2 linked regions of the Astyanax mexicanus genome follow. The protein of the gene in region 1 interacts with the protein of each later gene in a biochemical or structural test. Links are inferred from orthologs where the notes say so. Each region holds a gene or a part of one and is shown on either strand. Other genes may lie near its edges. The genes, in order: inpp5d and SLAM family member 9-like.

What was found.
Region 2: the proteins of inpp5d (region 1) and SLAM family member 9-like interact in a biophysical measurement, tested with the Homo sapiens proteins (2 studies listed by IntAct). The link is inferred for Astyanax mexicanus from reciprocal best matches to the Homo sapiens genes INPP5D and CD244.

The regions. Positions count from the first base shown.
Region 1 is NC_064412.1:48,004,037-48,020,053, reverse strand, and holds the start of inpp5d (phosphatidylinositol 3,4,5-trisphosphate 5-phosphatase 1), read left to right. Parts: upstream 1-10,024; 5' UTR 10,025-10,328; coding exon 10,329-10,468; intron 10,469-12,287; coding exon 12,288-12,351; intron 12,352-16,017. UniProt on the Homo sapiens protein: Phosphatidylinositol (PtdIns) phosphatase that specifically hydrolyzes the 5-phosphate of phosphatidylinositol-3,4,5-trisphosphate (PtdIns(3,4,5)P3) to produce PtdIns(3,4)P2, thereby negatively regulating the PI3K (phosphoinositide 3-kinase) pathways.
Region 2 is NC_064411.1:1,562,910-1,579,694, forward strand, and holds the start of SLAM family member 9-like, read right to left. Parts: upstream 6,418-16,785; 5' UTR 6,354-6,417; coding exon 6,296-6,353; intron 2,849-6,295; coding exon 2,558-2,848; intron 616-2,557; coding exon 364-615; intron 272-363; coding exon 146-271; intron 1-145. UniProt on the Homo sapiens protein: Heterophilic receptor of the signaling lymphocytic activation molecule (SLAM) family; its ligand is CD48.

The sequences.
Region 1 (16,017 bases):
CAGCTCTGCTTTACCTGCTGAGAGAAAGACAGTTAGCTTAGCAAACTCTAAATTCTTACATTACTGAAGTAAATTCAAGCTTTTTTCATTAGAATACATCATAAGATAACTATTTTCAATATAAATCTGTAGAAATTAACAAATTGGGTAGCTAACAATGCTTGTTTATTGGCTATCTAACATTAGTTAGCTAGCTGTTAGCTAGCTGTGGGCTCTGTAGGTTCATGTGGGGCACCAACTATTGAAGTAAAGAATAAAATAGTTAATATTCAGAGAGATAAAAAAAGGTTGTTGGCTCTTTAAATTTCATTTTTATTTTTATATATTTTTTATATTCTTCTATAACTCTTAAATGTTAGCTGGCTTGCCTTGCTAGCTTGTTATTTAGTATGTTAACTAGTTAGCTTGCTAGCTAATGTCATCAGTTAGCAAAGTTACCATAGCATTGATCACTCAATTTTTCAACATACAGTACCAGTCAAAAGTTTGGACACACCTTCACACTTAGTGTTTTTCTTTATTTCTTCATTTAATTTATTTACTACATGTTAGATTTATATTAAATAGATAAAAACAGTAAAGGGACACTATGTATGAAATTACGTAGTAAACAGTAAAAAAGTGTTTTTCCTCCACATTAATCCTCTGATCTAAACCTGATGAGCTGAGATGGTGATTTGAGGTGATTTGGGATGAGCTGGAGCTTCACAGCATGAATGAAAAGCAGCAACTATTGTTCAGCACCTCCAGGAACTCCTTCAAGACGCTGAAAAACTATTCCAGCTGATTCTCCCTCATGAAGACACTGAGATTAAAATACCAAGAGTGTACAGATCTGTCCTGAACAATAAAAATGTGCTACTTAGAAGAATCTAAATTGTAAAACATATTCTGGTTTACATGTGTTCCTGTAGAACTTTAAGGTTTTCAATATCAAATTTACAATGTAAAAAATCATAAAAAGAAAAAAAAAACATTGAATGAGAAGAGGTGGGTCCAAAGGTCTGAATGGTACTGTATGTAGGGATGCACCGATGTGGTAATTCTGGGCCAAAGCCGATATGTATCAATATTACAAATATGTATATTTTCCGATGCCGATACCTATATCTGATATACACTTAAATAACTTACAAATAGATTAGACACACTGGTATATGTTTAGAAATAAATGTAATATTTATATGTCTTATATTTTACCTTTCAATCAACTATATGCAACCAATATAATAAAAGGTTTCTCCAGAGAAATTTGTTTTCACATTTTTTTTGTTTCATATTTATGTAGCTAATTGGTAACATACCTTACGTAGACTGATCACAGTTTTTAACCTTCTATAGTAAATGAACAGGTTAAATAAAATTATCAAGCTATTAACACTGTTAAATAAAAATAAATAAAAATGAGCTTGAATCAATGAATTTGAAAGTTTTCGGTTTGTATTAATGCAGCCAGCATTGCTTAGTCTTTTTTCCACATACAATAAATACATCAATAAGTATCGGTTTGAAATACTGTACAAAATAATGGCAATTATTAAAAAAAAAATGGTTTCAATATTTCAATTTCAATATAGCTAGTGTTCCAATATATGTCAAGCTGTTTTATAATGGCACCACTGATACAAGTCCCAACTCAGTTTTAAAACTAAAAAAATGACATCTCTGATAGACGTTTGACTAGTAGAAACTCTTACTTCAGATATCATCTATAAAATGTTTACTAGTAATAATATCAGATCCACATATCTATAAATTCTTTATAACTAGTATTAGTTTACCACTGATTTACATGGAATTTCTCTTATCTTTTGGGTCCTGTACGAATGACTAAAACTATTACAAATGCTAAAGATATCTCTATTTAGTTCTGACAAGTAATGTGCATTTAGGATATGTACCGTTTATCTGCATAACATAATTGTAGAATTCTAGAGAATTTTGGATAGGAATTGTAATGTTGTTTTTACTTGTCAGAATTAGGAGTCGAGATTACACAATTTCTACTAGTAATAAAGTGGATTTTATTAATAAAATGTAATTATAATTTACTGAGCATTACAGGCATGCTGAACATGATATTTTACTAGTATAGATTAAGTTATTACTGGTATCACTGGCATCATTTTACTTTAAAAGTAAATTAATATTTAAATATGAATAATCTAGCATTGCTTAACTTCTGTACCTTTGGTTACTGTTGTGTCTGTTAGAAGTTAATGAATGGATGGATATAGTTTAATACAAATTATAAAGAGAACCATATGTTCATTTCACACATTCATGATGAACAGACTTATCCTTCAGTCCTCCTCCTCCTTTAACTTAACCCCCTTATCTATAACTCTCTAGTGATGCTCTTGTTCACTAAACCATGATTTTTTTTAAAGGTTAATGTTTACATGAATTAAGGGTATATATGAAGTGAATATGAACATTGTCAGCTGATGCAACTTTTCATTTATTCTACTAACAAAACGTGTCAACTTGGAAGTATATGAATTATTATTTAACTTGAATGTTTCAACTTTTGGCAGAAAAAGAAAAAACTTATTCATGCATTAATTTGACTTTGCAACATATAGTATATTGTATCTGATATCTAACCATCTAACCATATAAAATTCATTTTCTACCAATATAAAATCAAGCATGTATTCTCATTATGTAATAGCCATTGTTTTCTTTGTAATGGATCATTTGTATTGTGTTGTATTGTATGTATTGTATTGTATCTTATGCCTGTCATTTCACTCATGACCTGCTTTCACTTTTTATGTAAATGTAAGAAAAAAGAATGATAATTTCTTCATATTCATATTTTAATTTTCATGTATCTTTAGTTCTAATTCTAATATTAGGGCTAGAATAATGTACCACACTTTGTTTTATGTATTATATTATATACTGCCAACGTACGGTGCTATGCAATTCTAATTATGCCTTTTGCTAAAATTTGTCTTATATATTATGTCTTATATATTAAATCACCTCAATGTGCTTATTGTTTGTGAAAGGCTGATTATACACTATTTATTATTCTTTATCTCTGGGTGTGATGTTATGGGCTTTCGTGTTGTTGTATTTCAGTATTGCTTGTATGATACGTGCTAGATGCACTGTTTTGCCAATATATTTGTAATCATGGTGTAAATTAAACTCTTCTGTATTTTTACGTTGTGTTTGCTTTGATACTAATGCTTGCGGGTACATTTGTATTATGTAAAGTTTAGTTTTGCCAAGTAATACAAATATGTCAGGTTCCACCTTACATTCCATAGTTTATTTTATATACAGAAACCTAAGCTCATAACTCAAAACCATTTTCTTAGTAATTAGAGAGTTTTATCTGAAAGAAACACAATATATTAACGAATAAACTTAAATACAGTAAAAAAATTATGAAAAATTTACCTTTTTAAGACTGGAGCTCATATCCTATCAGCTAGTCTGAAGGTTAAAGTTTGGTTCCAGATTTATCCTGGATGCTCTGCCCTCAGCCAGCACCCCCAGTGAATGTGGATCCCATCAGCAGCTAACCTAATTTACCATCATTAAGCTCTGATATACCATACAGCTGCTGATATGATCAGAATATAAATAATACAAGACTCTATGAAGAGTAATTCTTTTTCTGACAACTTTTTAATTCTACTCCATACATGTTCACACAATTATCTGAACTTTCTACTCCTTACATTGTAAAAATAGCCTCCTATTACTCCTATGTCATTTCAGCTTGTTTCCATTCTGGCTCATCATCATAAAAAATCCCTATCCAGATGAATCTCTTCATCCAGATAGAGTGAATCTGATTGTGGTTGGATGTAGAGAAGTATAAACAGATACCATTCTGATATGCTGTTGGTTTAAATATGATCCATCACACCAGAACACATCACGCCCCCCACACTCCAGCAGACGTATCCTTGTATGAAGATGTCAATAGCAGCAAAATGTCCCAACTGTATTTGTCTGAAACAGGTTGCCTAGTGCATTCCAAAGTTTTCAAAGAAGTATTTTAAACTCTAGTATTTAAACTTATACCTGAGTAATTAGGATTGCCACCCATCCCGTAAAATACGGAATCGTTCCTTATTTGGCAACTAAATATTGCGTTCCGTATTGAACCAATGGCATCAAATCAAATCGTTTTACTGTCTTATCACAGTTATACAGTTGTAGAGGTAAAGGTAACACTTTATAATACTGTTCCATAGTTAATAGGTAACTAAGTAGGAACTAAGCAGTAACTAATTAATAGTGCTGCATTAACACCTAAATATTTGAAAGTTCTCCAGAAGGCATCTAAGACTCTAAGAATGACTGTAAGACTAATAATGTAACAATCATTGCTTTAATACTAGGTATCAGCCTTATAAAAGTGCATCTTCAGCGTTTGCAGTCTCACAGAGATTTATTTTTACTGCGCATTATTAGGGCAATTACGGTAATTTCACAGCGGACGCAGCTCTCCAGGGGCCTTATTTATAAAACTCTGCGTAGGTTCTGGAGTGAGAGTGTGCGTACGCACAAAAAACAGGAAATGGCGTTAAAAAAGCGTTAATGGCGAAATGGCGTTTAAAAAGTGTGCGTACGCACACCTGAACGCAGTTTCCTCTTTATAAATCACAATCTGCTTATAAATGTGCGCAGCTGACCAAGCCTCGCGCTCCGCCTCCGTACCGCCCACATTTACCCATAAAAGGTCCATGCAAATCACCCAATGAATAATTAAATGAGTGATTCCCCATTCATTCTGATCGGGATGATGGAGGAACGCAAAGCAAAGAAGCGCAATTTTGGAGATTGTGACGTGGAAGTCCTTGTTTCAGAGGTTGAGGCAAGGAAGGATGTGTTGTTTGGTGGCCTTAGTAGTGGCATTACCAACAAACGCAAGTTTGTTGAGTGGCAGCATGTGGCTGCAGCAGTAAACAATGTGAGCTCCACAAGCCGAACTATTGCAGAGGTAAAGAAAAAGTGGTCAGATTTAAAAGTCAACGCAAAGAAGCAAATTGCTTTGCACAGAAAAAAATTAACTGCAACTGTAATCAAGTAATGCCAAATTACTTAATTAATTACTCAAGTAATGCCAAGAGCGCCATTATAACAGACAGTGCCTCACTATTTTCTGCCTATTTATAGAGCTGTTATTTTATGCAATTAGGTACAGCTGTTTATGATCGTAATTATCTGCAACTATTACAAGCCCTTAACACTTTCCTCTCTATTTATTATAGAGTATAATTTGTTGCAATAATAATAATAATAATAATAATAATAATAATAATAATAATAATATTTATATATATATATATATATATATATATATATATATATATATATATATATATATATATATAGCACCTTTAGATTTTACAACTGTGAGATTAAACAGATAATACAAATAAAACTGAAATAAACTACAAAGCGAAATATACAAGTTAGTGGAAAATTAACACTACATATACATATAATACAGAATAAGATACAGAAATAATTTTAACTATACATGCAGAAAAAAAATATTGAAACAATTAGGTTAAATGTGTGTTAGTTAGCAAGCTAAGTTAGCTAGGGGAAATGTGTGTGTGTTAGCTAGGTTAATTGTGTTAGCTAGTTTAAATGTGTGTGTTAGTTAACTAGGTTAAATGTGTGTGTGTTAGTTAGCTAGGTTAAATGTGTGTTATTATTATTATTATTATTATTATTATTATTATTATTAATGTATATTTCCCTTTATAATACTGTGACATGATCTGCAGTAACTCCTAAAGAAGAACACAGTAACTCCTCAGAAATTAGTAATTAGTTAACATGTTTCTCACTTTATAATACTGTGGTATGATCTACAGTAACTCCTAAAGAAGAACACAGTAACTCCTCAGTCATTAGTAATGGGTTACCATGTGCTGCTGTTAACTCCTGAAAAAAGAAGACAGGGACCCCTTATTAATTATCTATGAAGAACACAGGGATGCCTAGTTCGTTATCTAACACAAATATTTATTCATTTAAACATGATTTCCCCCAGAATAAGGATGTAGGACACAACCTACAGTAAAGCTGTATGTGAGCCATCACTTCTACTGAGCACATCTCCAGGAGGACTGAAGAAGAGCACAGGTTTAGAATAAACACCTGTAACACACTGACAGAACATTACAAAAATGGGGGTTAAGCAGACTACTGCACATTTCAGTGTGTCTAACATTTGGAAGATATTGAGGATACTACGGTAAGTAAGGTTAATATATGATAGGTGGTGTCACTGACTTTAATATCACCACTGATAGAATAACCTGCAGCAGCAGATAAACACACTGATAGAGGCTAGCGGTCCGGCGCTGTGGAATTACCGTAATTACCCTAATAATGGGCGCTAAAAGTCTGTGAGACTGCAAGGCTAAAGATGAACGTGTATAAGGTTGGTGTTGAAAATTAAAGCAGTGACCATTAAAACAAAATTGAGTACAGTCAGTCTTAGAGTCTTCTGGAGAACATAAATAATGTCTACTCTGTAATAATATTACGTTATAAAGTTATTTTTTCTTTCAAAAATGGGGTTTAAGCAGATTACGACACACTGTAGTATTTTACTATATGTTGCTAATATTTGGTAATAAGATAATGATGATAATAAGGTGATTAATGTTACTACTACTACAAATGGTGTCACTCAAATATGCCTTTAATATCACCACTGATAGAATAATTGTTTGTGTAGACTGATTTAGATCTATAGTTCCCCAGGTGGCATGTAAGGGTTTTCAGTAGTTAATGTTGATTTGAGCAGTAATTAATAAGTAGTTATTATAAAGAAGACATAATTAGTAAGTAGTTCTTCAGGAGATATGTAAGTCTCAGTAATTATTGTGAAGTTAATAGTGAACTACTATAATCATTAGTTTAGTACTATCTACTGAGTAATTATCCAGTACTCCCTGGTAGTTAATAGAAAATATTTAGGTGTTAATGCAGCACTATTAATTAGTTACTGCTTAGTTACTGCTTAGTTACGTATTAACTATGGAACAGTATTATAAAGTGTTACCGAGGTAAATGACAATCTTGGGCGCCAGATCCATTATAGTAGAACACAATAAATACAAACAGAAATATAAAAATTTTCACACATAACATTAGAAATGCTAATGCATACAAGCTACTGGAGTGAATAATGAATATGGCCTGGGCTTACTGGACATGCTGGTAGACTGCACATTTATTGGCTTAAACAGAGTCCCAGTAGTCAATATTGTGTGTGTGTGTGTGTGTGTGTTTGAGTGGGTCACACTAGGGGGTAGAGTCAGGCAGTGTATGTATGGAGGTGAAAGAGTGCCCAGTGTTAACGTGATGCATCACATGAACACTTACAGAGGGACAATCAGCAGAACATTCACGCTTTCAGTCCCACTCAATCTGTCTCCTCAATGCTGTAACAGATCATGTGACCTGTCTCACATTAACAGCCTAAAAAAGTTTGTTCATTTTTAATTTACTACGCCATTTGAATACAGCAGTTTTACAACACCTATTTAATTTTGAGTAGACCAATAGAAATGCTTTAATATTTTTAAAGGTCTCATTCCATCTTTTTTTCATTCATTTTAAAATGTCTAGTTGTGGTCTCTAGTACGAATATGCAATGTGAGCCCTTTATTGAGAAAAAAAGGGCTCAGGTGTTTCTATTTAGCCCTGCTTTAGATCACTGAATTAGAGGTCTCTGAAGAAAGACTAACAGCACTGCAGCAGAGAATACCTAGCTGCCTTACCCCCACTGTCAATTTTACAGCTTTAAAACTCAAAGGACAAAATGTTTTCAGAGATACAGCCTTAGTTATAAAGATATAGCAGTGAGTGCTAGATAAAGTTAACTCTTAAACTTCACTTTTGCAAATAGAGACTGCCCGTCATGATAGCGTTCTCCCCGCAATTAACCTCCTACCCACGGCAGCAACGCCACTATCTCTGCTGCAGTGTGAATAACCCCCTACCCACGGCCGCAACGCGACTATTCCTGCGACAGGGGGAATAATTCTCTACCTGTGGCAACGCAAATAACCCCCTATCCGAGATGTCACTATGCCCACGGCAGCACGATTACCCCCGCCACCCTCCCAGTGCCATTGATTAAGTTTCTTTCAGCTTCACTAACGCTACTAAACTCTTACCTCAGACTTGGTGATTCGGTGCATGGGCAGTTTCACCACAGGACAGCCCCAGTTTCTGCTTTATATGATAAAATCTGATGCAAATGGTGCCCGCTTTGACCCCCTACCTGCAGCAGCGAGAATAACCCCCTACCCGCGGCAGCAAGAATAACCCCCTACCCGCAGCAGTGTGAATAACCCCCTACCTGCAGCAGCCATGCTGCTTTTCTCGCGGCAGAGTGATTCCCCCACCACCCTCACCCTCCCCCCTCCCAGCCTGACCGCGTTATTGATAATGTTTCTTTCAGCTAAACTAATGCTACTAAACTCTTACCTCAGACTTGGTGATTCGGTGCTTGGGCAGTTTCACCACGTCGAAGCCCCAGAGTCCGCTCCATATAATAAAATCGGACCTGAACGGAGCCCGCTTTCACAGTGTAAACTCCTGTAAACTGACCTAAAGATACTCGTATAGAGATACACTGCCTGGGCAAAAAAGGTAATTCATACACTGGCACACATTTGCTGTGGCATAGTTTCCACAAGCTCCTGCAATGTCACAATATTTATTTCTGTTGGGAGTTTTATTAAATTGTCCCCAAGATCTTTTATTGGTGGTGGGAGATTTGGAGTCTTTTCCAATAGATTCCAAATATTCTCAATGGGGTTCAGCATAGCCACATAAAGTGTACTTTTTTAAAGTATATTGTATGTATTTTGTATGTAGCTCAAGCTAACTTTTATTATATTAAAATATAACAAAATGCATTTGGTCAGAAGAAATGAGCATGTGAGAGAGAGAGTGGCAGGATGGAAACAGTTTTATTTTCATGTGATTCATACTGTGGACTGTCAGTAGATAGTTCCTGTCTAGCTCTCACACTTTCTTTCTCACTGTTCATTTCTCTTTCTATGCCTCACAACCTCTGTTTCTCTCTCATCCTCTCTCTCTCACACACACACACACACACACACACACACTGTTTTCAGCCACAGCATAAGCCACATTCGGCTTACATTCTTGACACTGATTGGTGTGTAGAAGGCCGTGCTGCGTAAGGCAGTGGCATGTTGTCATTCCGGGGAGTTGCCTTTGCAGGTGTTGTGCCAAATTCTGCCCCCTGTCAGAGTTTGACTCAATGCTTTGAGTGCAGGTATATCCCACAACAGAATTAGCATTCCAGATTGCCCTCAGATTCCTTTTATTTTTGTTTATTATTAGGGTTAATCTACAGTTACTGTAATAGGTTGATGATAGCCTGGCTCTAATAGATAGATTTTGTGTAACTGGTCCAGGGAAGTCTGAGCCATCTAAAAAATAACATTTTACACTGTACCATGGATCAGTTGATCTGGACTGGGACCACCATATTTGATTGGACCACAGTTTGGTTCTTTGGTCAGGAGCATGGTTTGTGACATCTTTCCCCACTGCAATTTTGGTTTGGACCAAGAGTTTAGAGTTTGCTATGCTACAGAAATGCTAGACTTAAGCACTCATGAATAGATGCAGGCAGTTTTTGAGTCACAGTTTGTGAGTTTTTTGTAGGCCGGGCCGTTGTTGTTGTATGCAAAGGTTACATGAGATGGGTGAATATATTTTGCATGTAGAGTAAATATGAAATATTATGCTACAGTGTGTGCAACCCTGCAAACATCAGAACTTCAAAGCTACTGCACATACTATTATGCTATATGTGTTATACTGTAGCTCAGTGGACATATGGCACATTCTCTGTATTCACTTTCGGTATTTACTTAACTTGGTTAACTGCTAGGGTAACATACAAACCACTGTACCTGTACTGCTGTTGTGTGACCATACGAGCAGCCAGCCGCTCTCTGGCCTTCCTCTCGCCCTCCCTCTCTCTCTCTCTGACTTGTGCATGCAGAATGAGGAAGTTCACTCTCGCGTTTGTGGCAGCTTCCTTTTTACAGCTTTCGCCTTTAACAGGAAGAGAGACCCAGAGACAGAGAGAGAGAGTCAGCAAGAGAGAGAGAGACACATAGAAAGAGAAGAAACAGCACTCTGATGCAAACAGCGCCATGAAACGGGCCTTGAAGCGACACTGAGTGCGGCCTGTCGTCCCACGGAGCGGCTCCTGAAGCCCAAACACCAGTGATCAGGTGGTGGTCTGCAGAGCAAGCTGTAAAGGAAGCGACCGGGTGGACAGGATGTCATCCCACCAGCCGTGGTACCATGGCAATATCACCCGTTCCACCGCCGAGGACCTGCTGTCCAAAGCAGCAAAGGATGGCAGCTTCCTCCTCAGAGACAGCGAGTCCATACAAGGAGCTTATGCCCTCTGTGTGCTGTGAGTACTACAGTTCAGTTAATCCAATTACAATTATGCTTGTGCTATATCAAATTCCTGGACCAGTTGAAATAACTGAACTGATATACGGCAGTTCCAACCAGTTTAGAGCTTTTCTTTCCTGTTCTTACTTATAGTTCATAGACACTTTCGCTGTAGCTGTAATGGAGAAAACACAGCAAGGCCATTGATGCAGAAGCCCAGTTCTTTGCATGCCCTGTCAGTTATGTAAATTCGGGCATAACAACATGAACTGGAGACCAGAGATGCATTCACTGGCTCTTCTCTGTCTGTTTTCCATTAGCTGGGTTCAAATCAGGAACTCAAAACTAGTCGTCAGCTGCTTCTAGGACTGATTAGCTCAGGGGGTTTCAGTACTTTAACATGAAAAGCAAAGCATGCAGTAGCTGTAGAGGTTCTCAAAAGTGATGGACGTACAGCTAACTCAAGACTGTATGATTTATCGTATTTTCTGTAGATTAGCTTTTTGTCTTGCATGCAGAATACACTATGCTTTGTTAGATGTGCTCATGCAAATGCTGTCTACTAACAGAACATGTCTGCAGTAGCCTCTTATGTTAAAATGTTTAATATCACATAAATTACGACTACACAGAATATTGATTCTGCATTGTAATCGCTTTTTCCCCATGACATTTCTTCCAAAAATAGATATTGACTTAATAATACTTTTACTCAAATCTAAAATCTATAGAGTGTTTTATAATATCATGATTTGTGTTGTGTTACAAATAATATAATTTCATACGAAAGTCTATGTAACATTTATTATATTTATTGAGCTGCTCAATATGAAAAGAAACAGTTATATATAATGAGAAATTAAAAAATACATACATTTTTACCCGATTTTATTTTAGAAGCTAATGATCCAACACTCTGTGTATCGACAGGTAGTGTTTTGTAAATAATAATAATAATATATAATCTGCATCTGGTAGAAATGTCATTGAAAATGAGAATTGTGTGAATTTTCATTTAGCATCAAGCAGCAAAGAATTAACATAATGTGGTTGATTCAATTTGAATGTGATGTGACACTGCACTTCCTACAATGACACATATATTTCGGTGACAATGGTTTAAAAAAAAAATGTGCAGTCTTAATTATTTATACAGTCGATTAATGTAATGTAGTGTGTAATTGTAATGATGAGTGTATAGTAGAGTGATTATAATATTCTAATCTGGATACAAGATGAGATTGAGATGGTTGGGTATGGAGGTGTACAGGTTCTGTATGGATACTGCAGCACATTTACCCACAGATGATGCTACAGCTGGGCCTGTAGATCCTGCTCTACACTCGTAGGTTACTAAAGCTGTGTCCCATCTGATCCCGTAAATGCTGGATTGGTGATAAATCTGGAGACTGGTTAGTACAAGGAAGAGTTAAAATCTGTTGGAGACATTCCTGGGAAACTCTTGCTGTGTGTGGATGAGCATTATCCTGCTGAAAAATGCTATTAGTTGAAACCCTGTCATGGGAGGTAACATGTGTCGTCAGAATGTCTGTTACATATTTCTGAGCTGTTAGTGTTCCTCATATCACTACTGGGGTGACCGACTGTTGTATCTGATGCTCCCCGGATCATCGTATTAGCAGTTTGGGACAATGTGTCACTCCACAGCAAAGCAAGATTGGAATGCTCACCATGAGGTCTCCATACTCAAAACTGATTATAGAAAATCAGTGGGATGCCATTATATAAATCCCATTCATCTGAAATTTCTAAATTCCATTGATTATTATGCATCTTATTAGCTGTGACTCCTAAAAGGTTTGTTTGCTATGCAGGTACCAGAACTGCGTCTACACCTACAGAATTCTACCCAATGAAGAAAAGAAACTCTCTGTACAGGTAAGATGTAGAATGTAGAAATGAACTGCACTCTATATTTAACTGAAGCTGAACTGGAAACTGTAGGGATCTGAATAAAAGCCTGATGAATCACTAGTCTCAGTTCTCACCTTTGGCCTACCTGCTCTGATGGGATTTCTCATTTACTTTTCCAGTTATGAGGCATGGTGAATGTGTTGACCTGACCAAAACATTTTCGTAAATCATAGCAATTTACCATATAACATGAGTCAATATCTTAGCACATTTTATTACAACGACAAGCAATGTGATAACTGTGTGTTATTTGCTGAAAATAACAATGCTGTGAAATTTAAACCACAGTTAACTCATATCTGTTTTTTGGAAATATAGCATCAAAATTCACACTATCGTAGGGCTCCGAGTGGTCCAGCGGGCTAAGCCACTATGATTGGGAGATTGTTGGTTCGAATCCTGTTCGTGTAGCTTGCCATTGCCTACCAGAGCCCAGATAGAGCACAATTGGCCTTGCTCTTTCTGGGCGGATGAATGGCACTCTCTCCCTACATCATTCCAAAGGGCAAATTTGGCAATGCTGCATCAGCAGCAGTTTGAAAAGAGGTGGTGGCTGACTTTACATGTACCGGAGGAGGCATGTGCTAGTCTTCACCCTCCTTGTGTTGTGACATCACTAGTAATAGAGGGAGTCCTAATGAGTGTGTTGAGTAATTTGTAAATTGGGGAGAAATAAAAAAAATAAATAAATAAAAAAAAATCACACTATCGTTTAGCTGCAGGTTGAATTTGATTGCAGCTGTGCCATCAGCATATGATAGACTGGGAACCACATTCATATAATATATACACTCATCATCACAAATATACTGTACTGTAGTTGCACCCAGAAAGAAGTGTGGCATTTTGGTGCTATTCAGAACGAAGGTGAAATTTACTAAGAATAAAAAATTATTATGAATTTAAACTGATATGGGTAATATTTATTAAGTTACATACTGATGACTTATACTGAAGTTGTGTGTAACGCACGCGTAATAAAACTTCATGGGCTTACAGTGGTTCCTAATGGAGTCCTGAAATAATCTATTCAGGTCTGGAGATGCAGTTGACCATGGCATAGTAGCTTAAAGGCAGGCTCTAGAGGTGGTAGCAGTGTTGACTTGTTGGAATAGTGCACAAGAGTGTGGGTTTAGAAAAGGTTGGACTGTCAAAGTTCTTGTAATGAAGACTGGAGGTGATCTGTCATTGTACGAATTTGCACTGTAGACCATGACAGCAGGCCTTCTGGACTTGTAATGTGTAAAAACATACTGTTGCCTCCACACACGGATTTGTTGGTCATCTCCACCAAAACAAATGTACTTCAGGGACTCGTCAGTAAAGAAAACCTGCTGCGTTAACAACACCATTGATGGCATTGCATGGTGTTAAGAGCAGTTATTATTATGGTCTGTGTGCATATAGTCCTGCATATAGTATCCACTGACTTGAGTCACTAAGCGCTTGTCGGACAAGTTATCGTTTTTTGCACTTTGTAGCTGGTGCAGATCTCCCTGATCCTTTATATCTCTAGTAGTACATGACTTCTTCTATCCACTGATACCCAGAGCAACTTTTCTTTGAGGTTTAATACCTCACCTTAATACCTCAATCGATGCACCAACACAACACCACAAGTCAGAATAGAAAAATGTGCAACAGGAGGACCTTATTTAGTCAGTCACTTACAGTGATTAGCCCTTTCTTGCTTATGTCACATGCACATACACACTCTCATATACTAAAAGGCATTGGACAGAACTAGTGTTGAGTCCCATGAATTTTGCCATGTCCCATGGAAGCTAAAGAACTCTGGATTGAACTGTGGGATATATATGTTTGGGGTTTCCTGCATTATATGTGGATGTGATATCTTCCAGAGTCGTTTGTCTGTTCACATGGACAATTCTAACCTAAAACCGCTGGTCACCATCCTTACCACGCACTGCACTGTCCACTGTAGGTGGTAACAATATTATCTGGCAATACGATGTTAGAAATGACACAAAGATTGAATAAAAACGCAGAGATGCATCTGGTAAATGAGATTTTAATAGAATCTAACGCTATTGTTAACCTGATTGTGGAAACGTATTTATTGATATCATTGTAAGCCCAGGTGTATTTTCAGTAAAGGCCCATCGTAGATGACATGCAAATATCTACTGTTGTCTCTTGAGTTGCTTGGTTAACACAGTTGCATAGTTGCATCAGTGGCATTAATGGCATTAGTGGAATCGGACACCCAGCATCCTAAACCATTAGCAGCTGGGCTAACGCTGAACTTTTTTCTCATGCCTGTTGTCAGTTCAGCTGATTGTAGAAACTTATTTCCTAATATTAGTGTAAATCCAGGTGTATTTTCAGTAAAGACCCATCATAGATGACATGCAAATATCTACCGTTGTCTCTTGAGTTGCTTGGTAAACACAGTTGCATTAGACATGCAGTGTTCTAAAACCATTAGCGGTTTGGTTAAGGCTGAGTTTTTTTTTCTTATGGCTGTTGTCAGTTCAGCTGCTGCAGACGTTCTATAGATGGCATGTGGGTGTTCATTCTCTTTAGGCAGAACCCATTCTCCACCCTGCGTTACAGACACAGGGCTAACGGCGCGCTAGCACGCTAATGCAGCTGCAACACCACTTGTTGTTTTCATTCAAACTCCTCAGACTTGGAGCTGTGCTAGCCAGCTGCTAAACACATGATAACACCTCACAACAAGGAACAAAGACAATGAATAGGTCCTCAGATTGACTTCATATTTAATTAACAAGGTCAATACATATTACTTAATATGATTAATTTATTCGATTTTTATATCATAAATGTGCCGGATTTATCAGAACCCAGGTTGGACTGATACACAAATATGTTTTGTGGTAAACCATTGACTAGTACTAAATTTACTCACTAAAAAAAAAAAAAAGATAAAAAAGAAACATTAATTAGACATTCATTAAAACATATTGGACAAAAACAAATACAAAAATAATATTATTATTAAAATATTACAATTATGCAAATGATTTAACTTTTTATCTTATAAGTTTGAAGTTTGTTTATATACTATTTCAATCAGCTTGTATATGTTGTATATGGTAGAATGATGGTATTCAAGAACCATCATACTGCCTCTTTATTTCCCTCTGCCTCTAAAATTCATGAGTATTTTAAAATTAGAGCTTCATGCCATCGGAGGAACATGACCTTGGTGGGGGGAAAAAACACTCCGCTTAGATTAGAAGTTATTGGGAAATTCTTTAATAAGCTTTAATATAAAATTTCAAGAACAGCCTATCTTTATACTGATGAACTAAATATGGTTGGACTACCTCAGTGTCCCAAATCAGTGTGTCACTTGCCATTCCCTTTAAGAGCCAGGTGCGCTCTGGCTTTGGCAGATTGGTATTTTAATGGCGCAGCTACCTGGAAATACCAATAATTCTTAGTAAAGGAAACTGACCTTCTTGTTCATGCTGTGAAGATGCACAAGCAGGTAATTTAAGTAATATGAAAATAATGCAGATTTTGTTATTTCTATTCTGTATTTTGTTTATTATTGATGTAAAAGTTTGCATAGCTGGCAAAAGGGGGGCCTCGGATGTTTACAGTCAGTGGCACACCTGTGTATTCTGTTGCCAAGATAGC
Region 2 (16,785 bases), on another chromosome or scaffold:
CCACACTCAGGATTAATTAAGAGAATTAGTACATGCCTTTTGCGCATTTCAAGCTGTTAAAGTCATGTAAAATCGTTTTCATATCACCAAAATTTACAGATAATTAGAGACTAAAAAGCAAAAAAATTGAGATAAAAAGCAATACCTTTCATCTTTTTTTTGCAAAAGTAGGCGATACCCAGGACAATCAGAATCAACAGAACTCCCACGACACCAATCAAGACGTACAACAGCCAATTCCACTCCTTCTGCGGGTCCCCGGGTGGGTTCTCTAATAGGAGAGAAAGGTTGGTGATGATGATACAGAAGAAATACGGTTTAATTTAAATAAAGAGGGATGTGTTTGGTCGAGTATGTGTGTACCTCCAGAATCACAGCTTTGTAATGTTATTTTCTCCTGCTTCCAGCTGACTGGGTTGCTCAGGTTACAGATAATGAGGCTGTCTTTGATTGACAGGAAGAGGGCGACGCCTCCAGGTGATGTCACGTTCTTCTCCTCACAGGTTGTATTATAACAGGTGGTGTTAATCCAGAGGTCGTGACCTCTGCAGGTGAGGGTGATGTTACAGGAGTCAGCACTTTTATAGAGAGTCAGAACTGGAGGCTCCACTGGATCTGAGGTACACACACACACGAGTTACTGAGCTGCTAATAAACAGATAATAAAAGCATTACATCATTACATAATCACCAACGGTTACCAATAACAACAACATGCTTTTATACTGTATTTAGCTGTCTAATCTACATTTAAAATAATCAGCATAATTATCTTCATTAATTTTTAATTTTTTATAATAGGCATTATATAGCCTGTAACTCTCTTTAGTGTGCATGAACGTCTACGCATAAAACATCCACAGACACACATCCAAAAAAATAAGACCTACGATCAGGTTTAAAAAAATATTTTTCCAATACAAATAAATCTTTGATTAAATGGTCTAATATCAATTTAAAGATCTTCAGATTAGTATTTTAAAATGTTTCTATTTTGTACAAAAGCAAAGCCATAATAATAGTAATTAAAAATGCAAATGTATTGAATTCATTCTTTATGTAAAGTTTAATGTTTTTAATAATGGTAAGTTCAGGTCTCTTTTTTCATATCCAAACAAAACCTCCTACTGTAACTGAAATATCACTAAATTAATCAATATGGAATGAAATCGGGAATTGAATTGAGAAGTTGAATCAGTAGTGCCTCCCAGCCCTAAAACTACTTCATAAATAATACATTTGCATGAAAAACAGCCTCAAAATTCTAGCATTAACCATTAACTGAAAGAAACTTCAAAAAGTCATGATGCAAAAACTGCAAATGTGCAGCAAGGAAAAAAAAATACATACATTCGTATTTGGATGTTCTAACAAATCAGTCAGATGTGTATCCAATAAAGAAACACATGTAATTGGTGTATGGAATTATGTTGGCTCTTGACCTCCAGAAATGTTTCAATAACATACTACAGTATTTTCTGGGATTTTTTATGTAAATAATAAAATAGGGGAATATTAAAACCCCATGAAAACACTGCTAGACTAAATAAGAAACAAATCATATTTTGGTAAGTAGAGTGGTATGGTTTGGTTGGGCACCTCTAATAATTTGTCATATTTTTGTACTTGATTTTCTGTATAAATGCCTTAGTGCTTTAGTAGATTAAGAGCAGTGTTTAGTGTTTAGTGATTAGGGTTGTTGTCTTGTTAAAGTATCCAGCCCCGGCACTTCAACTTCAACTTTTCTCACTGATTCTTCAACATTGTTCTGAAGAATCTGCTGATTTTGACTGGAATCCATGATCAGTACCTGCACTGATCCCACCAAACCCCCACAGCATGATGGAACCGGCACTAATTTTACTGTGGGGAGCAGTAACGTGTTGGAAGTTGGAATGCTGTGATCTTTTTTCACCAATTTTAGCTTCATCAGTCCACTGAACCTAATCCCAAAATGAAGCTGTTCATCTAAATGTGCTGTTAGCTTTAGCATACCTGAAGCGACTCTGTTTGTGTGCAAAGTGAGCTGAATAGTGAATAGTGAATAGTGAACGATGAACAGTGACTCTATTATCTGCAGCAGTAAGATGATGATGATGTTATAGATGTTGGAGTTGGTCTGGAGGTCTGTAGGTTCACTATAACTGTTCTCTCCATCCTTCTCCTCTGATTATCTGAGATTTTTCTTGTTCTGCAGCTTCAGATCTTTATCTAGAACTGAGTCTGTGGTTCTTCCACTTCCTCACTCTGTTCCTCACAGTGAAAACTGGATCATTTCACTTTTCAAATATCACTGGGTTCATCTGCTATATGGTATATTTAACTGAAATAACTGATCTGAACAACCAGTGATTTATAAAGGAAAATCCTGAACATTATATGGGGTGCCCTTCATAATGATACAATACATTTGGAAAAACAGCCCTACTTAAGGCTCATACATAAAACTTAGACATGAAAAGATTGCCAAGCTCAAAATCATACTAAATAAATTCAAACGATTTGTTTCATACCTAGATAAAAGAGAAAAATCCCTCAAAAAGTACAAAGCTCTTACCCCACACAGTGAGATTATACTGAGCAACAGTTGTTTCTGTTTGACTGCGCGTTATCGCTTCATACAGTCCACTATCAGTCTTCTGTAGATTCTTCAGAGTCAGACTGTAGGTTTCCTCATTAAACTCCACTCTGTCTTTATAAGGGTCATGCTTAATAATTTTACCTTTAGAAATATATCTCAGAACATTATTATTATTGTGTTTCCAGATAAAGGAAGAAAATGTCTGTTCTTTAATCTGAACGTCCAGCTGTACAGAATCTCCAACCTGCACAGACACATCACTGGATCCTGCAGAGAAAGAAGAAAGATAAAACCACTAGGGTTATTTTCTGGTGAATTTGTACTTGCCATCTTCAATAAAATGCAGAGAATATATAGTATGAGGTCAAGCCTATCAAAACCTTTACTTGTTGAAGTACATGTCGTTATACTGAGTTTAAGGTATACATTATTACTAATCCTTTCCAAAAAGAAAGATCAATGAGAGGTATTAAGAGTCAAGTGGTGCTCTGTTATCTCTCTTTTATGGTGGGAAGAAACCGATATCAATCAACAATCAATAGCCTTAAACTAATCTGTGTTTATGTAATATAATAATATAATCAGTTCCATGTGGGGTATGTATGGGTAGCCCATTTGAAAACCAGATTTTTTTTTCCATGGGTCCTATGTTGCCCCATTGGTTGTGTTAATACAAATCAGCCATTGCTGAAATTCTTACATAAAGCTGCACCATTGCACAAAGCAGAAATTGCTAGCTGGACCAAAAGATAGGTTTTTAAATATCTTGTTGAAGAATTGAGGTGAAAAAAGCAAAACGAGGCCAAATTGAGCAGTAATGTGAGCTAAAACACAACTATGAAATTTTCTTGGGCCCAATTCCCTTAGTGAAAAACAATAAAAAAGTAAAAGTATTTGCCGTTTAAAAGCTGGTAAAAGACAGTAAAAGCTGAATTATTGTGTGGACCAATCCAGAGTTAACCAGATTGTGTTCAAATGCAGGAAATTCAGTTTAATTATCACCCTCTGAACGTGGTGTATTAGTCCACAAGCTCACAAACACAGAACTTCTAAACAACTGAAGGCCTTTCTCCCATTCAGAAGTGTTAGAGGCATTTTTAATGTGGGAGGGGGCACACTGGAGGGGGGGGGGGTGGGGTAGGAAGTTTGGTCTAGGGGACTTTGGGGGGGTGGTGTTCTAGGGTTCTTACACTTTTTCCTTTTCTCTCACTCTTTTATTTGTTCTCTCTCACTCACATTTGTTCTCTTTATACCTCCGATACCTCCGACTTTTTTTCAAAATATCAAGTCTAAATGATATGCGCTTGGTGGGAACTACTTTTTCTTCCGCCTGGGTCAGTGAATAATGCGTAAGTAGCAGTGTTGGGTACGTTACTTTGAAAAAGTAGTTAGTTACAGTTACTAAAAAAAAAGTCACTGCACTAAAAAAAATTAGTTACCAGTAAAAGTAACTATTGCGTTACTATTGCGTTATGTCAATTTTTGTATTCAAAATATGTGTCTATTGTTATGTACAAACAGTCTAATCTGCTTTAACTGTTAAATTAACATATTTAAATTGTCAGCTACTATTGTGGCATTTCTTTATTCATTTAAACTAAAAATTAGTTTGTATTCTCTTATCGTAGGCTATTTGGAGAGACTACATTCATAGTTGAATCTAAATAGGATTAAGCACTCAGAAAACCCCAATCATACTTCCAAGTTTATCATAAATTAATAAATAATTTGGATACCTTGTATTATTTATGAAGCTATGATTTGAAACACACAAGATTTTATGAGTTACCACACATTTTTCTCAGTATCTGATTGGAAAGACATTCAGTGGTATCCAACATCACTAACTCTTCTTCTCTCTCTCACTCTCTTGCTGTTGATCTCTCTCTCTCTCTCTCTTTCTCTCTCACGCTCCTAACCCCGCCCCCTCAGGCTTTTGATTGATGGGCAACTGAACCAATCACTGTGCAGCAACTAAAAGGCTATAAAACAATAAAACAAACAAGGACAAAACAGATAATCCACATATTCTGCAGTGATTGTATTTCTAAATGACATTAATTGAAATTAGCCTTAAGCAATTATCATTTGCTTGTTTTTTCATTCATACTGTACATCCTCTATTTTAAAACACATTACGATTCTATTCAACATCCCGATGCACAACAGCCTCTATGGAAGATTTTTTAAATATATATTTGCATACACTTTTCTACATCAGACTTTTCCCATAGTACATGTATTAGTGCTTAGCTGCTTAGAGCTTCAGTGTTCTCCTTGTTCCTGCATGGATTTTCTCCCACAGTCCAAAATCAGGGAGATCAGTTTTATTTTTTACTCTAATATTGACCTAATGGGAATACATTTTTTTTTGTCTGTATGCCATAGAAACTCTACACCAGGAAGGGACTTGAACCCAGGACCCTATTACTGAGAGGCAGACCTGCTAATCACTAAGCTACCATGCCACCCAATTGTTTTAGCTCTTTGGCCCTATAAGTCTTACTATTTCCTGTACAGTGCCACCTGGGAAAGAGCTGATCACTTATACACAGTTATGGGAAAAGACTGTTGTAGAAAAGTGTATGCAATTATTAAAAACTGGATAAAATGGAGCTAAAACTGAAGGTAGTAAATGGACATGGAAATGCTGAATTAATGAGTTCTGCAGCAACTTTAAACACTTTAATTATAACTACATGTGCTCCTACTAGGTTTGAATAAATAACCTATAGCTACCTTTGTTAATTAGTACATTTAAATTTTTTATCCAACCCAGCTGGCATTTCAATGTTCAATTAATGTTGATTAATGTTGATGTGATGGTTGAATCAACGTTGATTTTAAAAAGTGAATCCACGTTGATATATGCAACGTTGTTTCAACGCCATACGTTCTACTTTTAATGAACCATAGCTCATTAAAAGGAGACAATCCTATTGCAGTTAGTGCAAATGGAAATAAAACACTTTTTAATTCCTCCATCCAACCGTTTTTAGAAATTATATGGTAATAAAATGTAAAATGCTGACATTATGTTGGTTCAACGTTAAAACTTCAACATTTGCACAACCATTTAACATTAAATGTTGATTCAACTTTGTTTCAACATTGAAACAACAACAGACATTAATTTAGTTATATTTTAACCACACTTTAATGTTGAAGGTCGGTTGTGTGCCAGCTGGGTACTCTCACTCATAACAGGTACATTTAAAAAAAATAAAATAATAAAACCTAAAAAATGACAGAACACGGTCATTAAATCTCTAGAGTGGATTTAGATTAAGCTGCACCGCAGACATTTGTGTGACCGAACAATGCAGAGTAAAAATGAAACTAAAGGTGGGCTTTCTGAGGGGCGGTTTTCTGCAGTGTTCCATTTTAAACTGGAAGATCTCAGTAGAAAAAAAAGTGTGAAGATCAAAAGCTTTCAGAACGCTGAACCGTGAGAAATACCCATCTCAGTAAAACATCACATTCTAGCAGCTTTTCTCTTCACTATTTAAATTTTAAACTGTTTAAAATCTCATTTTCAACACAATATTATACATAACAATCAAAATCACAAGTTACAAATTATTAAAAAGTTTGTGTTCGTTTTACAGAAGTTTAATTCAGCTCAGATTTTTCAGTAGTTTGATGAAGATCACACAGTTAAACTGAAGTAAAAGTGAAAGACTGTATAAAAGATCAGAATATACTTTATCTTACCGGTAATTACGATGAAAACGCAGAGAAGGGAGATCAGCTGTGTTACCCTCGCCATCATGCTGCATATGAGCTACTTCCTGTTCAGAGGAGGAAGTAGTGTGAAGGAGGAGGGAGGCATTTTAAACTGATTTTTTTTCATGAAAATTTCCGTAGTTTTTAATGTTTGTGACATTAGTTGGGGAATATCGTATTCAACTGAGCTCTGGATAGCACTCTGAACTTCTGCTCCAAACTGACTGATACTTTAAACTATAAAATGACATTAAACTGTAAAGTTTTAAAAGCTTTTCTGTTACTTGTAAAACTTAAAATAAAGAGATAGAAACAGAGAAAATTGCTGTTCAGGAAACAAAATAGTGATGATTACGCTGCATTAAAATATATACAACGTAGTTCAGCCACTGTCTAAACATACAAAAGTATTACAATAATCACAGCACTTATAAAAAGGGTCACAGATTGACTCTTTAGACACAAAAAACACCATATGGGTCTTACAGGCCAGGAGGCTCATTTATGTCTCTTGCATTTTGTTGTACTGAAGGTAAAATATTAAACAAATCTGCTAGAGATGGAGTTGAAATATTAGATTATTAAAATGCAAAACAGCCTGAGGAAATGTTTCACATTCAAACAGATTATTTCCATTTGAACAGAGAAAATTATCTTGTGGTTTAATATTTATATTGTGATATCATATTTATTATTATATCATATTATATTTTTAAGGTCCAAGCACGTCGTTTTTTGTCTGGTTTTTTTCTTCGTATTATTATTATTATTATTATTATTATTAGGGGTTCGAGCACGCAGTGTTAGGAACCCTATTGTTCTGATTATTATTATTATTATTATTATTATTATTATTATTATTATTATTATTATTCTTTTTCTGCCATAGAAGTGATTGGGCAGAAGAAACCGTAAGGCCTACAGGGCTGAGACTTGGTCATATGGTAGTACTTCTCACCGCTACTCAGATTAAAAAAATGAGCCAGATCGGCCTCAAGGGGGCAAAGGTCAATGCATTAGGCCTTGTAACTCCCACGCCCTGATAGCTAGAGCAAAAATTATTTCATTAATTGATTCTGTGGTTTATGGCAAATCCAAAAAGTAAATAGAAACACTAAGCTCCGCCCACTTAGATTTTTTGCTATTTAGCATATACTGACATGTTTGGTGTCAAACAACTCAGCAGAGTGTGAACCTCAATAATTATTGAAAAAATCTTTAAATTTTTACACAGTATGGCCGCCATATGCAAATTGGTGTTACCATGGCACACCCACATTTACTCTAACAGCTGTAACTTTTGAATGATTAAACCGACACTAATGCCACTTTAGATCTTTGATGCCAACATGATTCTGAGGTAGCCTGTCAATCTGTGAAGACATACGCCCCCAGGGGGCGGAGCCAAAGCTAAAAATCTGTTTCTCAGGAACCATACAAGCTATCAAGCTCTCGTTTGGTAGTTATAATCTATGGCCTATGTCCTATTGGTATACTGAAGGAAATGTTGATATGAACATTTTTGCGATCGCTATTAGCCAATCAGTTTCAGCAAGCTTTTGACAGGCTAAACAATGACCAAACAGGGCGATACTTATACCCTACATGTATATGAGGGCCTTTTATCACCCATACAGCAATATGTTTTGAGCCTAACTGGCCTTAAGGGGCCTCTTTGCCTGTGCTGCTCAGACCTCGTAAATCGCCGCTTGCGGCTATATTTATTATTATTATTCTATTACATAAAAATTAATGTTATATAGAATGTACTGTAACATTATATTACATTATATAAAAGTCTACTTCGCGAGACAGAGAGACCTTACTAACCACAGCTCCCTTTCTCTGGCGAATGTCACAAAAAAAGTTATCTGTGATTAAAAGGCTCATAAAAATATTAATCAACAATAATATTTATGTATATTACTTAAATGTTAATATAATTGTCACGGCCTCGCTCTGGTCCCCTGTGTTTCTCCTGTAATTTTCCATCACGTGTGTCTAATTTGTAGCTCCGCCCCTTCCCCAGATGTTCAGTGTTTCATGTTCCTATGTATAGTACACTTTAGTTCATGTTTATCCGTCGTTCTTTGCACCTTCCCGTGTTGTTTGTCTCGCCACTTTTATGTTATAGCTGATTTCTTGTTCCTTGGTTATTTGTATTTTCATGCTTTTGTTTATTTCTAGTCACGTTCATTTCCTGTTTGTTTCATTCTTTGTTTTGTACATATTCACGTATTTATCCCTGTATATATCCCTAACCCTGTTTGTTATTTTCTATTTTTTGTTACTCCCTGTTTGTTTGTTTATGTACATATATATATATATATATATGCCGAAGAGGGGGGGGTAACTGTTGGGGCTATCGGCTTCGATACTAACCGCGGGGGTGGCAAGGTGGGCAGCAACGTGGGCTGTGAGGACCCCTACTTCTGGGATTACGTGGACCTCCTCGCAGCAGCATCCAGTTCGGAGGAAGAGTAATACCCTCTGATGCGAGCCCGCTTGCCGCTTCCTCCGGGGGCTGTCCTGCAGCCGAATTTCTACGTCACGGAGCGATCTCCAAAAGCGCCGGTCCTCAAGACGCCGCCTCCCGCCACCCGCCTCCCGCCTCCCAGGGCGCCCTCTGTCTCGGCGGCAGTTCAGCTAGCTTCAGCAGCTAACCAGCTAGCATCTCCGGCGGCTGCAGCTCCAAGCTTCTCCACGGCTACGCGGCTAACTCAGTTAGCATCCCCTGCTACCACGGCTCATCTCTCTCCGGCTGCAGCGGCGCCCGCTTCTCCGACGACTTTAGACCCAGCTTCCATGGCGGCTGCTGAGCAGCGCTTCAAGTCACATGCGGCAGCAGCATATCTTCGTTCCAGGGTTTCCATGGAAACGGCGCTACACTCCCCTGCCCCGGAACCTGAATATGCTGCGGTGAATTCAAGTCAAGTGCTCTCTCCAGCAGCCCAAGTCTCCACGCAGACACCTACTGCCCAAGGGTCCAAGTCTGTTCACGTGAGTGGTCCTTTGTGCCCACCGCCAATGTTCCTGTGTCAGCGGTGCCCACCGCCAATGTTCCTATGTCAGCGGTGCCCACCTCCAATGTTCCTGTGCCAGCGGTGCCCACCGCCAATGTTCCTGTGCCAGCGGTGCCCACCGTCCATGCTCCGATGTCAGTGGTGCCCATCGCCAAAGTTCCTGTGTCTGCGGTGCCCACCGCCAATGTTCCAGTGCCGGCGGTGCCCACCGCCAATGTTTCTGTGCCAGCAGTGCCCACCGCCAATGTTCCTGTGCCAGCGGTGCCCACCGTCCATGCTTCAATGCCAGCGGTGCCCACCGCCAATGTTCCTGTGCCAGAGGTGCCCTCTGCCCATGTGCTGATGCCACTGGTGCCCACCGTCTATGCTCCTGTGGCAGCGGTGCCTACCACTCCAGCGCCGACGCCAGCGATGCTTGTCGTCACGCCGCCATCCCCAGCTGCTCAATTCGCCGCGCTGTCAGCTCCAGCTGCCCGAGATGCCGCACTGCCAGTTCCTGCTGCCTGAGCCGCCGCACCGCCAGCTCCTGCTGCCCGAGTCGCCGCGCCGTCAGCTCCAGCTGCTCGAGATACCGCACCGCCAGTTCCTACTGTCCGAGTCACCGCACCGTCAGCTCTTGCTGCCCGAGACGCCGCACTGCCAGCTCTTGCTGCCCAAGACGCCGCACCGCCACCAACTCCTGCTGCCCGAGTTGCCGCGCCTCCAGCTCCAGCTGCCTAAGCCGTCGCGTCGCCATGGTGGTCCTTCACCACACCCACGCCGGTTCCTGCACCCAGGACTAAGTTCCGCCCCAAGCCCCGTGTGCCCAGGTCTGCCCCAAGGCCCCCGGATTTCAGCCCAAAAACTTTGCCCAGGCTGGCTAGAACTACCCCTCTGACTTTAGCCAGTCCTGGGCATCCCCAGGTCTTTCTTGTCCCCATGTCTCTTCCTGTTCTGGTCCCCGTGTCTGTCTATGTTCCTGTTCCTGTCTTGTCTGGTTTTTCTGTGCCTGTTCCTGTCACCGTCTTTGTGTCTGTTCCTGTCAATGTTTTTGTTCCCGTTCGTCCCATGTCTAGTCCTGTCCAGTCACCTGTCATGTCTCACGTCCAGTCATCGTCCCCCTGTCCAGTTTCCCGTCCAGTCTCCGGTATCGCCCATGTCCAGTCCTGTCCAGTCACCTGTCATGTCTCACATCCAGTCATCGTCCCCTGTCCAGTTTCCTGTCCAGTCTCCTGTCTCGCCCAATGTCCAGTCTCCAGTCACGTCCTCGGTCCAGTCTCCTTTCTTTGTCCAGTCTCCTGTCTTGTCTTCAGTTCAATGTCTTTTTATGTCAAGTCCCCGGTCTCGTCTCTTGTTTTTCCCGGCCCCTCCACGCCGCCGGCCCCCGGGGTTTGGTTTTACGCGCCTCGGGAGCTGCACGATTAGGGAGGGGCTTCTGTCACGACCTCGCTCTGCTCCCCTGTGTTTCTCCTGTAATTTTCCATCACGTGTGTCCAATTTGTAGCTCCACCCCTTCCCCAGGTGTTCAGTGTTTCATGTTCCTATATATAGTACACTTTAGTCCATATTTATCAGTCGGTCTTTGCACCTTCCCATGTTGTCTGTCTTGCCACGTTTACGTTATAGCTGATTTCACGTTCCTGGGTTAGCTAAATAAAAAAGCTGGTTAGCTAACTTAACAATCTGGTTAGCTAAATAAACAAGCTGATTAGCTAACTTAACAAGCTGGTTAGCTAAATAAATAAGCTGGTTAGATAACTAAACAAGCTGGTTAGCTAAATAAACAAGCTGGTTAGATAACTAAACAAGCTGGTTAGCTAAATAAACAAGCTGGTTAGATAACTAAACAAGCTGGTTAGCTAAATAAACAAGCTGGTTAGCTAAATAAACAAGCTGGTTAGATAACTAAACAAGCTGGTTAGCTAAATAAACAAGCTGGTTAGCTAAATAAACAAGCTGGTTAGATAACTAAACAAGCTGGTTAGCTAAATAAACAAGCTGGTTAGATAACTAAACAAGCTGGTTAGCTACATAAACAAGCTGGTTAGATACATAAACAAGCTGGTTAGCTACATAAACAAGCTGGTTAGATACATAAACAAGCTGGTTAGCTACATAAACAAGCTGGTTAGCTAAATAAATAAGCTGGTTAGCTAACTAAACAAGCTGGTTAGATACATAAACAAGCTGGTTAGCTACATAAACAAGCTGGTTAGATAACTAAACAAGCTGGTTAGCTACATAAACAAGCTGGTTAGATACATAAACAAGCTGGTTAGCTACATAAACAAGCTGGTTAGATACATAAACAAGCTGGTTAGCTACATAAACAAGCTGGTTAGCTAAATAAATAAGCTGGTTAGCTAACTAAACAAGCTGGTTAGATACATAAACAAGCTGGTTAGCTACATAAACAAGCTGGTTAGATAACTAAACAAGCTGGTTAGCTACATAAACAAGCTGGTTAGATACATAAACAAGCTGGTTAGCTAAATAAATAAGCTGGTTAGCTAAATAAATAAGCTGGTTAGCTAAATAAATAAGCTGGTTAGCTAACTAAACAAGCTGGTTAGCTAACTAAACAAGCTGGTTAGCTACATAAACAAGCTGGTTAGATACATAAACAAGCTGGTTAGCTAACTAAACAAGCTGGTTAGCTAAATAAATAAGCTGGTTAGCTAACTAAACAAGCTGGTTAGCTACATAAACAAGCTGGTTAGATACATAAACAAGCTGGTTAGCTAACTAAACAAGCTGGTTAGCTAAATAAATAAGCTGGTTAGCTAAATAAATAAGCTGGTTAGCTAACTAAACAAGCTGGTTAGCTAACTAAACAAGCTGGTTAGCTACATAAATAAGCTGGATTGATAACTAAACAAGCTGGTTAGCTAAATAAACAAGCTGGTTAGTGTTAGTGTAGAAAAGAAAATGAAAGGTGGGCTACCCCCACCTCTCGTCCGGGGTACAACTCCCCTGCGTGTTCGTTTGATAGAGAGAGTCGCAGACAGGTGGAGTGAAGCTGAAAGCAAACCAAGTATTTATTACAAAGTACTGAATATTCAGGAGAACCCACACATGAAAGACCGTCTAACAGCCGTCCCAGCATAAGTTCTGACCCCCCTCTGATCTGACTCCATGTTTATACCCCAAATGACGTGAAACCTGCTGATGAGGCGTTGCTAAAATCATCTCATGTTAGCATGCGTAATTTCACGTGTTAGTAATCCGTTTCACGTGTCTGACCGGACCATCAGTGTTTGGCCTTGACTGTATTCTTCCAGAATGGAACATCGTGGCACTATCTGTGTGTGTGCGTCACCCCCCGCTTTGAAGCAGAGGTTTTTAGGCAGGCACTCACTCACCAAAAGGCCGCTTTGATCTAAGAGCCTTTTCTGTAGCAATTTAGCCCCGTACCAGTCGAGTTGATGACCGTTAGTTAGGGTCATGCAGTCAACAAAATACTTCAAGCCTGAGCTACATCTCATATGTTATATGTTAATGTGTTAGTAACGCGTGGTTAGTCCGCCATATAATAAATCCTATGTGTTAGTAAATGCCTTATGTATCGTGTGGGTTAATTTGTCATATAATAGAGTCTGTGTTAGTCACATGCCTGATCAAACAATGTTTTACTATATATGTAAAGAGTATATTGTGAGTATTGGTTAATCTTCTATATAAATGCGTGTAAAATACACTGTGAGTAAAAATGATCAAATACAATGTGAGTATTGGTTAATGCATATAGAATACAAGGTTTCACACAATGATTATGTAATTATAGATACTAAGATAAGTAATCATAACTGAAAGATATTTGTCAATCAACCCAAAGTATAATAAACAGTTACTCTTCATTAGATAACTAAACAAGCTGGTTAGATAACTAAACAAGCTGGTTAGCCAAAAGTTCGTAACTTACGGCCGAAGTTCTCTGGTGTTACGCCGAAAACAGTTCCCTGCTAATCTCTGCAGCGGTGCCGGGAGTTCAGTTCACCCCGCTGTAGCATTAGCTTAAAGTTAGCATTTTTCTTACGACCCTTAAACGATCTCGAAATTCAGAGGATACGGTGATGTTCAGGAGTAAAATGTACACAGAATAAAGCGTACAGGGGTCTGAACAGATTTATTTACCACAGAATTTGACAGAGGCAGATTTTTAAAAACCCCATCATTTTTCTCATAGGGAAAAAACGCTTAGACACAGAAGCCGTAGGAGCGCTACAGAATGACGAACGACTTCAGTGGTCCAGTACCAGAGGAACATATTTTCGTTTCTTATATTGGGTTTGTTCATCTCACTTCTGAAAATTCACCAAAATCTATAATTGAAAGGGATTTTTAAAATAAATTCTCCTAGGTGATCATACCCCTGGACCCCACTTGACATTAATGATATTGATTATACACAGGCTGTTTACAAGTTAAAAGTTTTTAAAAAAGTGTTGAAGTGCTTTATGTCTGTCTCTGTTTTATCTAAACAAAGTTATGATTTCTCAAATTTGGAATTGGGTTTATTGATTTCTCAAAGTGAACTGTTCTTATTAATATTTGCCTCTATTCAGCCTCTGTGATTGGCTGGGCAGTATTAGGCGTGGGCTGAAAGCGAGAGTTGTGATTCTATCCTTCTATTCATTTACTCCTCTTCTCTCCACTCCTCTTCTTCCAGGGAAGGAAAGAATGAATAACAAAAGTTTCTGGACTTTTTTACAACACGCCCATTTTTCCCTTAAGAAAAAAAAACATTTTAGTATTGTTAAAAAAAAACTGTAGTAGTAAAGCTGTAGTGGTGGAACAGATGGAGTTACTGCTGTTATTCTCTACTGCAGCTGCATTTACACATTTACAGCACATTCACACTTTTATCATCATAATAACTAGAAAAAAAACTAGATAAAACACAGAGAACTCTGTAACTATTAAAAGTAGAAGTTCTTTCTTTTCTTTAGAGAAATTACAGATGAAATCAGAGAGTGGTGAGTACTGTTTCTACACCTTCAAATAAAGACTCTTAGAAACTGGAGTTAAAAACTGCTACAGGAAGACGTCTGGCTGACCCACATGGAAACAGCAGCTTTAGCCTTTAGCTCAGATTAACATGATTAATAAGGACTGAGTCTCAGTTTCAGCAGAGAAGAGAATTAGAATTAGAGTTAATCTGACAGGAGAAGAAGAACTGCAGTAATAAAGTCATTTATAAGATAAAGATAATATTAAATCTGCCATACAGCACTGCAGCTACTGGACTCTGGTTTTACTTTGTAAAAGATGAGAGTAGCAGATTGCAAAATTTGAGAAGTTCAGATCCTTCCCACAGCAACAGTAACAAACAACAGTTGTTAAAACAAACTAAATAAAACACTCTAAAAATCATCAGAATGACGTTCATTTAGTGATCACTCTCACAAAAATACCTAAAAGTACCTAAAAATTGTAACTTTAATTAGTATTACAATTACAAATTATTTTATAAAGTAATTAATTATTTAGTCACAATATCAGGATTTCCATCAAAGATTTATATTCTGATACTGAAGACTGAATCAGATTCTGAGGGCTAAGAGTTCAGGGTCAGTATGATTTATCATTTTATTTAAGTACATTATTTAATAACAAGACAGACAACGAAATTCAATAAAAAAATGTATTTTGCTAGTATTGACCCACGCCCTTGACTGGGCAGAGAAGAATAAAAGAGGGGGAGTGAACTCAGAGTATTGGGGGTGGAGTTCTGGGCAGCTTCGCTGTAAAGTGTGAAGCCGAAGCCCCCCCTCTCATGAAGAGAAACAGGAGAGTAATAAAAGTAAAAAAAAAAAAAAAAAGTAAAGAAGGAGGAAGATGGGGAGGAGGTGGGTGAGAGGTTGTTCAACGAGCAGGTAGAGAGGAAGTGACGGTTTAAATAGGGAAGGAAGTGGGAGGAGTGAGGGCGTGGATCAACTCCCAAAACTTAGTTATGGATACATAACTCCACTAAACACACAGTAAAAAACTGATGAGACAGATCAGGATCAACCAGAGAATTAATACAAGCTTCACTCAGTGTAAACATGGTGTGTGTGTGTGTGTGTGTGTGTGTGTGTATTTGTTAGGTGTGCAAGGAGAGGAAACACATGACAGAAAGTTGTGTGTTCCTGTTTGTGTCTAAAGCTGTATGAATAATCCACATGGAAAAAAGTACCATAGCAATAACGGGATAATACTGACTTAAATGAGGTTATAAAAAATACCTTTTAATTATAATCCGACTACACCACCTGAGGAAATTCACATCAGGAAATTATGACTAGTAAATATTAACTGTAAATTAAAAACAACCCAACCCAAGGCCAAGACAAATAAGCCATGCTCTTTGAAATAAAACAAATTAACAAAAATAAATAACAGAAAAATAAACAACTAAACTAAACCCAAAATAATAACAAAAATACAATCTAACAAATAATAATAATAAAAAAAACGAATTATGAAACTGTAAATAAACTGCGTATAGAACAGGAATCCAAAGAAAGAATTAACCAAAAACAAAAACTATTTTAACAGGCAATAAAGTGCTAATCTCAGAATCTTAACGGCTGGAATATACAGCTTTACAATGTCATACTATACAGTTTCTTTCATGGTACAAAAAGAAGAACCGTGACTTCCAGAGCAAAATCATCTTCATGCAGGACAACGCACCATCTCATGCTGCAGAGAATAACTCTGCTCTCTGATTGGCTGCTTTGAGCATAAAAGAAGAGAATCTCATGGTGAGGCTTCATCTTCTCCTGACCTCCTGAACCCTATGGAGGAAAGCTTTGGAGCTTTGAGCTGCAGATCTGTGAGGGTGGAGGCAGCTCACATCTAAACAGCAGATCTGAGAGGAGATTCTGACATCAAGCAGAAACTCTTTAAAAACTCACAAGTTTAATAAATGCAGGAATTATGAAGGTAATATCAAAGAATAGCTCCTGTGTTAACATGTAACTTGGCCTGTGAGGATGTTTTAGAGTGAAATAACTTTTGATTTCAGTGACTGTGAAATCCTCCTAATGCTGCAAATTTAAAAATGAATATTTGATTTTTTTTTACAACCTTTAATTTGTTTTTTAACTCGGTTGCATAAAAATGTGGATCAGTGCATTTTGAGTTTTTTTTTAATACTGTTATAATTTGAAGGTTTGTCCATAAAATTGAATTTATACTTTAACGGCTCATGACTTGGAAATTATACTGACTGCCATTTGCCCTGACCATATAGAAAAATCTGAGAAAAATATCACTTCATTCATTCAGTCTTCATTCAGATCATTCAGTCTTTGTCCACAGCTTTTACTGGATTTTTTAGCAACGGAATAAATGGATTCTGGTTTTGAAGGTTCCACTGGAACAGAGGCTGGATCAGGTTTCTAGAGGAACATGAGAACACAGAATAAAAACATCATTAACTGAAAAGAGTTATATAGAGTTATATAGCAGAGTTTAGATTTACAGGAA